2 linked regions of the Arabidopsis thaliana genome follow. The protein of the gene in region 1 purifies or fractionates together with the protein of each later gene. This does not show direct contact. Each region holds a gene or a part of one and is shown on either strand. Other genes may lie near its edges.

What was found. Proteins that work in one complex are often made in the same cells at the same time.
Region 2: the proteins of AT3G07920 (region 1) and EIF2 GAMMA fractionate together in Arabidopsis thaliana (co-fractionation; one large-scale study listed by BioGRID). This does not show direct contact.

What each region holds. Positions count from the first base shown.
Region 1 is NC_003074.8:2,523,903-2,528,777, forward strand, and holds AT3G07920 (Translation initiation factor IF2/IF5), read right to left. Parts: upstream 2,328-4,875; coding exon 2,274-2,327; intron 1,937-2,273; coding exon 1,779-1,936; intron 1,661-1,778; coding exon 1,518-1,660; intron 1,427-1,517; coding exon 1,341-1,426; intron 939-1,340; coding exon 885-938; 3' UTR 518-884; downstream 1-517. Other genes in the region: AT3G07910 (reactive oxygen species modulator-like protein), read right to left, coding at 74-146; AT3G07930 (DNA glycosylase superfamily protein), read left to right, coding at 2,818-3,843, 4,203-4,514.
Region 2 is NC_003070.9:1,094,185-1,099,059, reverse strand, and holds the start of EIF2 GAMMA (eukaryotic translation initiation factor 2 gamma subunit), read right to left. Parts: upstream 2,179-4,875; 5' UTR 1,940-2,178; exon of another isoform or gene 1,774-1,939; intron 1,662-1,773; 5' UTR 1,638-1,661; coding exon 1,529-1,637; intron 1,442-1,528; coding exon 1,380-1,441; intron 1,261-1,379; coding exon 1,148-1,260; intron 1,062-1,147; coding exon 959-1,061; intron 682-958; coding exon 454-681; intron 343-453; coding exon 124-342; intron 24-123; coding exon 1-23. Other genes in the region: XIB (myosin XI B), read right to left, coding at 2,914-3,025, 3,093-3,256, 3,339-3,395, 3,486-3,542, 3,617-3,713, 3,883-3,953, 4,031-4,159, 4,318-4,509 and 1 more.

The DNA of each region.
Region 1 (4,875 bases):
AAAAGGCGATTAGATTGTAATTCTAGGGTTTAGGTTTTTTTTTTCCAGAATGTAAAGGAAATCGAAAGCGTACCTACTGCGCCGCCAAGAGCGCCGCCAACGGCAACTCCGGCAGTGATTTTGGCCAAACAGCTATTTTTCGCCATCTTCTTCTTTTTAGAGACAATTCGTTTCTTGTGTCGGAGAATAGTTTTTTACGGTTGCCCTCGCCGCTTTTAAGGTTTTTAACTTTGAAGTTTTTGCTTACGCAATGGATTGATTTTGCCTTTCGCTACAAGGTCGAGCCACAACACCGACCTGTTCCTTAACCGGCCTAACCGATTCGAACCAAATTTCTGGAAAGACGTCATTGGTTTACTTACAGCTTTACCCAATTTACTAATTTACCCACCCGACTCCACCGGATCTTAACCCAACTAAGCCGGCACTATTATTTTTTGTTATAAGTTTAGCAAAATAGACATTTTAATTTCATTTGGAAACCAACAATTATTTAAAAAATTTACACTAATATTTTAATGTGTTAGTTACTTTGATATAGATTTTGGTTTATGGTAATTTACATTATAAATAATAAAAGGGTCATATTCTTTTAAGAATGTTGTTTATCGAATTAAATGAATGTTATATGGTGTAAAGAAAATTTAGAGAAGGTTAGTTATTGGAAAAACATATGTTTATTCAAAGGGAAGCTAATTGCTCAAAAATAAATGTGCCGGCAAAATCCAAGTCAAGTCAAAGCATTAGCAAGTTAGCAGAATAAGAAGGAGAAGAAGAAAAGCATGACCTCACAACTCCAAAACATGTTCTTTAGTAATTAGACATCTCAAGAAAAGACGACTACTCTCTACTCACTTGAGCTACCAATATATCAATCACTTGAGCTACCTGCGACCAAAATTGATTTTGATTGGCGCCACAGGTCGTCCTGATCCACACTGTCAAAACAAACCCCATACGTTCATATTTGCAGAATAGCAAAACAAAATTGGATACTTCTTAAATACTAGTATTCAGACAGTAATTACTCATTTACTTGCTCAACCAAATTAGCTTTTATCATGCAGTACGTAGGCAAAGATATCAGCATCACATCAAGATGATGCAATATAGTAAGCCTCCGAATGAGTTTTGTATCACTCTTAACTACGTAATATCAGACACTAATGTTGGCAAATTCCTGACTAGGTAAAAGAAACAGCAATCATCAAAGATAGGCATTGGCTTGTTAAGTATCAAGAGAAGAGAATTTTCTTAAGCAGCTTTCCTATTCAATCACGCAGAAAGCAAAAAATAAAAACTTGTCCAAGGCAAGAGAAGCTAATTGGGTAGAGTTTTACCTTTCCACATCTCAAAAAGAAGAGACGATTCTCCTTTGAAAGAATTGCCTCTGTGCTCTTGCAAGGAATGCACATGACGTAGTCAACTGAAATTAACAGCAATTAGAGAAATCACTTTAAGAAATCAACAGAAGGATGTTTAGTTGAATCCTAATCTTGAGAGGAAATGTTACTTACGGATATATCCTCGTAATAACGATTCAAAGTCCCTCTGTGTAAATCTCCCCCTAACAACCAACCTTTGCTGATCATCAAGTTTACCCCTAGTACCCAGCTCAGCAAGCAAGAACGCCATAACATGATCAGGGTTTCGATGCATCCTGAAAAAGTTTTAGTTCCAAATACAAACATGAAAACTCACTACGTTCTAGTAACAATGGTTCCAAAAGTAAAAGTAAAAAAGTTTGAAGGGGCAGAGATATGGTAATTTCTTCATACGTCTTGCAATAGTCCATAAAGTTGACAAAGACTGTCTTCTTTGTGCCTTTCGCTGTCTCTTCACGAAGAACTTGTGGTGGCCATATAATTGTAAGAAGCCAAATTCCAACAAGCTCCGGACTATTTTCACGCAGGATATTAAAGACCCTACGAAGAATCTGTACATATAATTCCCATCAGAAAAAGAAAAAAAACAAGCAGGAAGAAGTATGCATTGACTTAAGGAAAGAATGCTCCAAAGCAATATTTATATAAGTCGCACGTTCTAGTAACCAAAGAGAATCATCTACCAACTATGCATGCTTAATACAAGATCCTGAAGTACAACTGTTTACTTGGTTTTCATTTTTGGTTGGGTCAAAGGATAGCTGATGTAAAAGGGCAACAACAACAATCAAACCAAACGAAAAAGGAAACAAAATCTATTGTCTTAATTTAGGGAATTAATCAAGGAGTCCTTGTAGACAAAAACAAAATGTCAAAAGCCAAACTTACTTCTTGCTCATCATCCTTCACTTCTTTCTTGTTCTCATTACTTTCATCAGCCATGATTTACTGCCAAGAAAAGCATTCAGAAAACAAACCAAATACTAAAATCAAGAATAGAATGTGTATGATCATCAACAACAAAGATTGGACTCTGTTACCTAAAACATGATAAGTAGTAATTTCTATTCCGAGTCTAAAACATGATAAGGATTTACCTTTGGTAACGAAACCGCAATGCAAGATTGGTCTTAACGAGGAAAACACAAGCGAGAGAAGCTATGAAGACTGCGTTTCCCAACCCTAATTTTTTTTCTTTCTCAAAAGCTTTTTATAATTAAAAAAAAAAAAACCATAATTTTTTAGATTTTTGCCACAATTTAATTCGTAAAACAAAAACGTAATTGACACAAAAAGAGTCTAAATTTACACACTGACGGCAAAAAGGGATATAATTTATCGACAAACTCACAAAAGTATCGGCGAAGAAGAGATTGGATTCTCTGTTTCAGTTCCTTAAGAGTTTGAGGAGATTCTCTGTGTATAAATTGAGATGGTTCCTCCCATAATTTATAAGTATAAGCGAAGGAAAGATCGGCGACTTGGTAGGGACGATGATAGTTCAGTGATGATGACTCGTCGGAGACCCGACTCCGATTTTATCGAGGTAAGTGATGAGAATCGCTCGTTTGCTTTATTTAAGGAGGATGATGAAAAAAATCGTGATTTGGGTTTAGTTGATGATGGTTCCACAAATTTGGTTCTTCAATGTCATGATGATGGTTGTTCCCTAGAGAAGGATAATAGCAATAGCTTGGATGATTTGTTCTCTGGGTTTGTTTATAAAGGTGTGAGGAGGAGGAAAAGGGATGACTTTGGAAGTATAACAACGAGTAATCTTGTTTCTCCTCAAATTGCTGATGATGATGATGATAGTGTTTCTGATTCACATATTGAAAGGCAAGAATGCAGTGAATTTCATGTTGAAGTAAGAAGAGTTTCTCCATACTTTCAGGGATCTACTGTTTCACAACAGTCCAAAGAAGGGTGTGATTCTGATAGTGTTTGTTCCAAAGAAGGATGCAGCAAAGTTCAAGCTAAAGTCCCACGAGTTTCTCCATACTTCCAGGCATCAACTATTTCACAGTGTGATTCTGACATTGTTTCTTCTTCTCAAAGTGGAAGAAATTATCGGAAAGGAAGCAGCAAACGTCAAGTTAAAGTCAGAAGAGTTTCGCCATATTTCCAGGAATCAACTGTTTCAGAACAGCCAAACCAAGCTCCTAAAGGTTTGCGTAACTATTTTAAGGTTGTGAAAGTTTCAAGATATTTCCATGCTGATGGAATCCAAGTCAATGAATCACAAAAGGAGAAATCAAGAAATGTGAGGAAAACTCCTATTGTGAGCCCTGTACTCTCGCTTTCTCAAAAGACCGATGATGTATACCTGCGAAAAACGCCGGATAACACATGGGTGCCTCCACGATCTCCATGTAATCTGCTTCAAGAAGATCATTGGCATGATCCATGGCGGGTGCTGGTCATATGTATGCTTCTCAACAAAACATCTGGTGCACAGGTTTTTCCTCATTTCTATCTCTTTTTATTCCATATCTTTGGTGAACATAAGTAATTAGCATTTGAGACCAATTAGTTTAAGTGGATGTGTTTAGTGTTGCCATTGCTTGTTGCATATTTTCTCAGTTAGTTACAGGAATTAGTACTCGAAAATCATTCTTGAGGGAAGTCCAAAATTTGTTAGGAAGTAAGAAGTTAGACCTCTGTGCGCTTGAATCTTTCAATTTTAACTGTTGCAGAAGAAGTAGCTGCAGTTTTTGGTTTGATAAGTAATTGATTATCAATGATTTGAATTGCTTGGTCTTGTTGAATATGGTAGAAGAAAAGGCTTTGTAAATTTATTTTAAAAGGTGATTGCAGACGCGGGGAGTGATATCAGACTTGTTTGGATTGTGTACTGATGCAAAGACTGCAACAGAAGTTAAAGAAGAGGAGATAGAGAATCTAATAAAACCTCTTGGATTACAAAAGAAGAGAACCAAAATGATTCAACGGTTGTCTCTAGAGTATCTTCAAGAGAGCTGGACTCATGTCACTCAACTGCATGGCGTTGGAAAGTATGCAGCGGATGCGTATGCGATATTCTGTAACGGGAATTGGGATCGCGTGAAGCCTAATGATCATATGCTAAACTATTACTGGGACTACCTCAGGATTCGGTATAAATTATGAATGAGAAGGTACAAGTATATATTTGTCCTAATTTGCTCTGTTTTTTGTTGTTGTCAATGTGTAAAAGTTGTAAATGAAAATCTTGTCTTATACTAGTTTGTTATATCATATATTGGAATGTGTTTTGGTATCATCTATGGGGTTTTCTGTGTTTAATATTGTCGAACACCTAAGATGGGGCATGATTGTTGATAATGAAAAGCTATGCGACTTTCTCAGGTTCTTTTTCTGTATTAAAAATTAAGTTAGTTCTTTGTTAGATTAGGCACCAACTATATAATAATTCAAAGAATGACAATGATGAGGCAACTACTTCTATGAGCCAAATCCAAAAGTAAAAACTCTTTAAAATAACGTCAAT
Region 2 (4,875 bases), on another chromosome or scaffold:
AATTGGTTGACTCTCAAAACACCCTACAATATACATGTAGTTAAGAGATACTGATTACACCATATAAAGCTTGATGTACTTAAGAGGCACAACAAGAGAAAGGGAGAGAGAGAGAATAGATACCCGTAGGATACTTCCACCTGCAACTCCACCTTTGATCTCATCAACCTCATAACCAGGTTTGTTGACATCAAAAGACCGAATCACTATCATATTTGGGGGTGACACAAAATTCCTCTCAGGGATTGGGATCTTCTTGACAATGTACTCGCACACCACATCAATGTTGTATTTCAGTTGTGCTGAGACAGGGACGATCGGAGCAGCATCAGCAACAGTGTTCTGCAACAGGATGTGAAAGAAATTTTAGAACCAAGTTCTTCAATACTTAGCTTAACCAAGTGACGAAATGAGAATGCTACAACAGATCCTTAAGAGATAAGAAAACCTAACCATTATAAATTTCTGAATTGCCTCGTGCTGATTAATGGCAACATTCTCTTGAATAAGATCAATCTTGTTCTGAAGGATGATGATATGCTTAAGTTGCATAATCTCAACGGCAGCAAGATGTTCAGACGTTTGTGGTTGTGGACAAGTTTCATTTGCAGCGATTAAAAGTAGTGCACCATCCATGATGGCTGCTCCATTAAGCATTGTTGCCATGAGAATATCGTGACCCTGAAGAATAGAACAAGAATACATTCAACAAGAATGAAGTAGAGATAAGAAAAGCAAAAGATGGAAACATCAATGAATACTTCTCCATCAACCCTCACTCTTTAAGCCCTTCACCCAATTAAATGAGAGACCCAAAATCATGCAGGTGGAGCACAACAACATCGATAATACACAATAAACGAACAGCTCATTGACACATGAAATGGTTATACACTTATACTATCAAATGAAAATGGTAATTAATGAAGAATAAAGATAACGGTAAAACTCATCATACCGGGCAATCAACGAATGAGACATGCCTCAATAGTTTCATCTTGGAGTTTTCAAATCCGGGGACATCACAATTGGGAGTGTCTTCCTTTCCACTTCCGTAGGCCCTAATACAACAGATAAGTTGTTAGACCTTGACTCAAACCTTATAGTAGAAGTAGAAGATAAAAACACTGTTGTAAGAAGGACTCACTTGTAGCACATTGGTCTAGGGCATTTCTCATCCTCACATTTGTAAATCTTGGCGTTTGCATATCCAAGCTTAATGGTAATGTTACGCTCCAATTCATTTTTAAAACGGACAGTCTGTACAGAGAAGATAAGGAAACCATAGAAATCACTTCACCCACTCCAATTGATCAAACGCTGCAAGCTAGAAAAGCCTCTAGGATTACAATTGTGAAAACCGCATAATCAAATTTTACCTGGACACCAGAAATAGCTTTAACAACAGTGGACTTTCCATGAGCGACATGACCAATGGTTCCTGAAACATAACACTATCATCTTTAGCTTATAGGAACTGCCAGTTTCTTCAACATCAACTTATATAAAAGACTCAAAAAAGCGTTACCTATATTAATAGTGGCCTGGCGAGAAATGACCTCAGGAGACAGAGGATGTAGCACAGTTACATCCAATTTTTTAAGATCTTGCTCAGCCAAACCCTTGTTCCTCGACATTATCAAAGATTGAAGCTTCTGCTCCTGCTTAAAACCGAGCATCAAATCAGAACCCTAACCCTAGTTAATCTGAAAAAGACTACTTCTCAGGTTTTTCTACATCTGCCCTAATCAAGTCGACACACAGATTCTATACCTGAGCTCCGTTACCTAAATATCACAATAATTTCGATTCGCAATCTAAAAAAACATTATGATTACGATTAGATTCCCCGAACTAATCTTCGTGCGATAGAAATGGGAACAATTAGGTTGAACAAATATTGAATCCGTAGGAGATGTAATTCGAGATCGAAACGAACCTGAGCGATGCGAAAGAACAACGGAGAAGGTCAAATTTGAGAGATAAAAAAGAGTGAGAAAGCGGCGCAGCTTGAAGAAGATGCACAAAATGGTTTTTTTTTTTCTATCCAAGTCCCTAAAGGGTTTTTGGTTTCCTTCGCGTAACCTTTTTTTTTTTTCCCTTTCTAAAATTTCTTACAAAATAATGAAATACTAGTATTTAATTAAATTACTATCAGTAGAGACTAATTTACTTTTTCTATGAATCAAAGTATCAAACCCAAAACATTTCATCATATTAATTTTATGTGCAGGGCCGGCCCGACTAAATTTAATGCCTAAAAGCAAAAAACAATTTGGCCCAACATAAAACACAGTTAAACAAAAAAAACCATAAAACTTTTAGAATTCGAACTTGAGACAGACACCTCAAGTGAAAGGCCTATTTGCGATCGACTATAAGCGTTCGTGTTCCTCTATCTCTCTCGGGTTTGTCAATTTATCTTTCCGAACCAGTTATGAATTTGTTTTTTTTTGGAAGGTTTTGAAGTCTTTGAATCTCGGCTGTTGAAGTCAGAAACGTTGGTTTTAAACCAATATCACCAGGTGTAATGGAGTTTGATTGAGTCCCAAATTTTTTAAAAAAAAATCACTGAAAAGAGTTGGGGCAAGTTTATAACAAATTAAGTAGATTAATTCTGTACAACAACAACAAAGGATCTTCATCGTGTAGAACTTGAGCCGTGAAAAAAAAAAACCAGATAATAATCTTGGGTCTAAAATGGAGAAAAAACTTTGAAATGGGGTCAAATAAATAAATGAATGAATTGGTGAGAGAGAAATCACAGAGGTTTTGCAAGAAAGAAACAACCCCACAAGAAGTAAAAATTTACACTTTTGTAATCTTCTTTCCTTTTGGTTCAAGAAGGCACCCCTCCCCCACTCAGACTAAAAAGAAACAGAGGAAGAGCTTTTTTAGAATCCGAGCTTCTCACTAGTGCAAGAATACGAATTCTGGGTTTTCCAGTAGCTCTTTGGCCGGTTTGACACTCGCAAAGTCTTTTTCGTGCATCGAATTCGAAATCTCGTCTATTGAGAAGGGAATGCTGCGAACAATAAACCGGTTTTAGTTTCTACTACTGATATTAATCTTTAAGAAATGATTCGAGTTACCTGGAATTATCATCCAACAAGAAGGAATTGCTGTCGGCATCGTTGGATTCTTCTGTCATGAGCGCACGCATGCTCGATATTACCTCTTGAGACACACTTCGGGTGTTATAGCAGTCGTCCCAGTATAATGTGCATATCCGGTAAAGTTGTTGGACACTAAGGATCTGTAATAAAGTGAAACAAGAAAGCCATTAAGTATGGAGTCTAGGCAAAAACGTGTTTCTAGAAACTAAGAAGGAGCTTTACCGGGCAAAGATCATGTACTATATCATCGTATGATACTCTGTACTTCTGGTGGATAACCTGATAAGTTACGAGAGGAGAAGTATTCGTTTTTGAAGATTCAAGAAACAAGAGTTCCACAAGTTAGTATTAAACAAGAGTAAAACATACCAGGAACCCAACAGCTTGTCTGATGTGTTTCAGTTCATCCCAAGATGGCCCAGCATACTGCAAAATCAAAGAATGATATAATGAGCCGAAAGAAACTTTTTCCGGAAGGAAAACGTGAGGTAGGAACTTACTTCATTGACTTGGCCGCACCACAATTCTAGCTCTGCAAGCCCAGACTTTACAAATTCTCCATTGCTGAATGTACAACACTCTTTACGCAGTAGAAGGCTATTGTAAGATGTTAAGGAAAAAACCAAGTAAGAAAACACTAGTGATCTTGGCTTATATCTTCCATAGGAATTTGAGAAATATCAACCATAGGAAGGTTTGTACTTTGACGAGTATCGATGATAAGGTGTGTAGAAACCATTAGATGTAATTCTCAAGTATTATTTACCTGTTAAATAGTTGCACATTGACGAACGAGAAAGTTTGAGTGTGTATCTTCTGGATGAGTACCAAAGGAACCTGTACACCATGAAACATATGAGAATTTGAGGATTTGAAAACAGAATAATGTCATGGAACTTTTACTATTTCCTTACATAATTATCTTTCAATATGGCAAGCAGCGAATTGAGACCATCAATAATGCTCTGCCAGTGAATAGCAGGAGAATCTTTTCCAAGAGATCTAGCAGATCTTTGTATCCCTCCTTTTGAAATTCTCGGTGCCTGAAGTTCAAAGTTTTGACAGAACAGGACTTGTTACAATAGTAAAACACATTTATTATCAAGGTGCAACGCAACAAGCGAGTGGTCACAGCATTAGGATACAACAACGTAAAGTCAGGACAAAAATATATAGCTGCAAAGAGAGAAGTCAATGAAACCTGAATGCACATAGATATTAAAGCTGAGAGCTCTTTCTTCAAGTTATCCCTAATCATCCCAAATATTTTCTCCACATATGCTGCAAGCTGTTGCTTGAAAAGCAGAGCCGGGTATTTTGCCTCCACTGGGCGGATCACCGCAAGAGCAGCAGCTTCAGCCGCAGCAGCAAGGTTTGGTGATGAGCGGAAGCTCTGGTTAAACAATAAGGGAAAGGATAGTTAAGATTCAAAGTAAAAGATCCGTCAAAAAGCCCTACTAACACAGAAAGTTAAAATACCAAGGCCATTCTTCCAAACAAGGAAGTTGTTATGGGTGGCTTCTTGCTTGCCGTTGCTCCGGCGCCAGCAGGTTTAAGACTTTTTTGAAGTAAAAACAGTAGTGCCGATGTGTTTGTCAACCAATACGCCAAATGACCATTGTCATCTTCATTCTGAAAAGAAAAAAATTTCAGTAGAGCAGCAATTGTTACTTCCAAATGATAAGACAAACAAAAAAAAGGCTTATACTCCTCTCCACTAGATGATTAGTGTATGATAAAAGGATATAAGAGAACATAC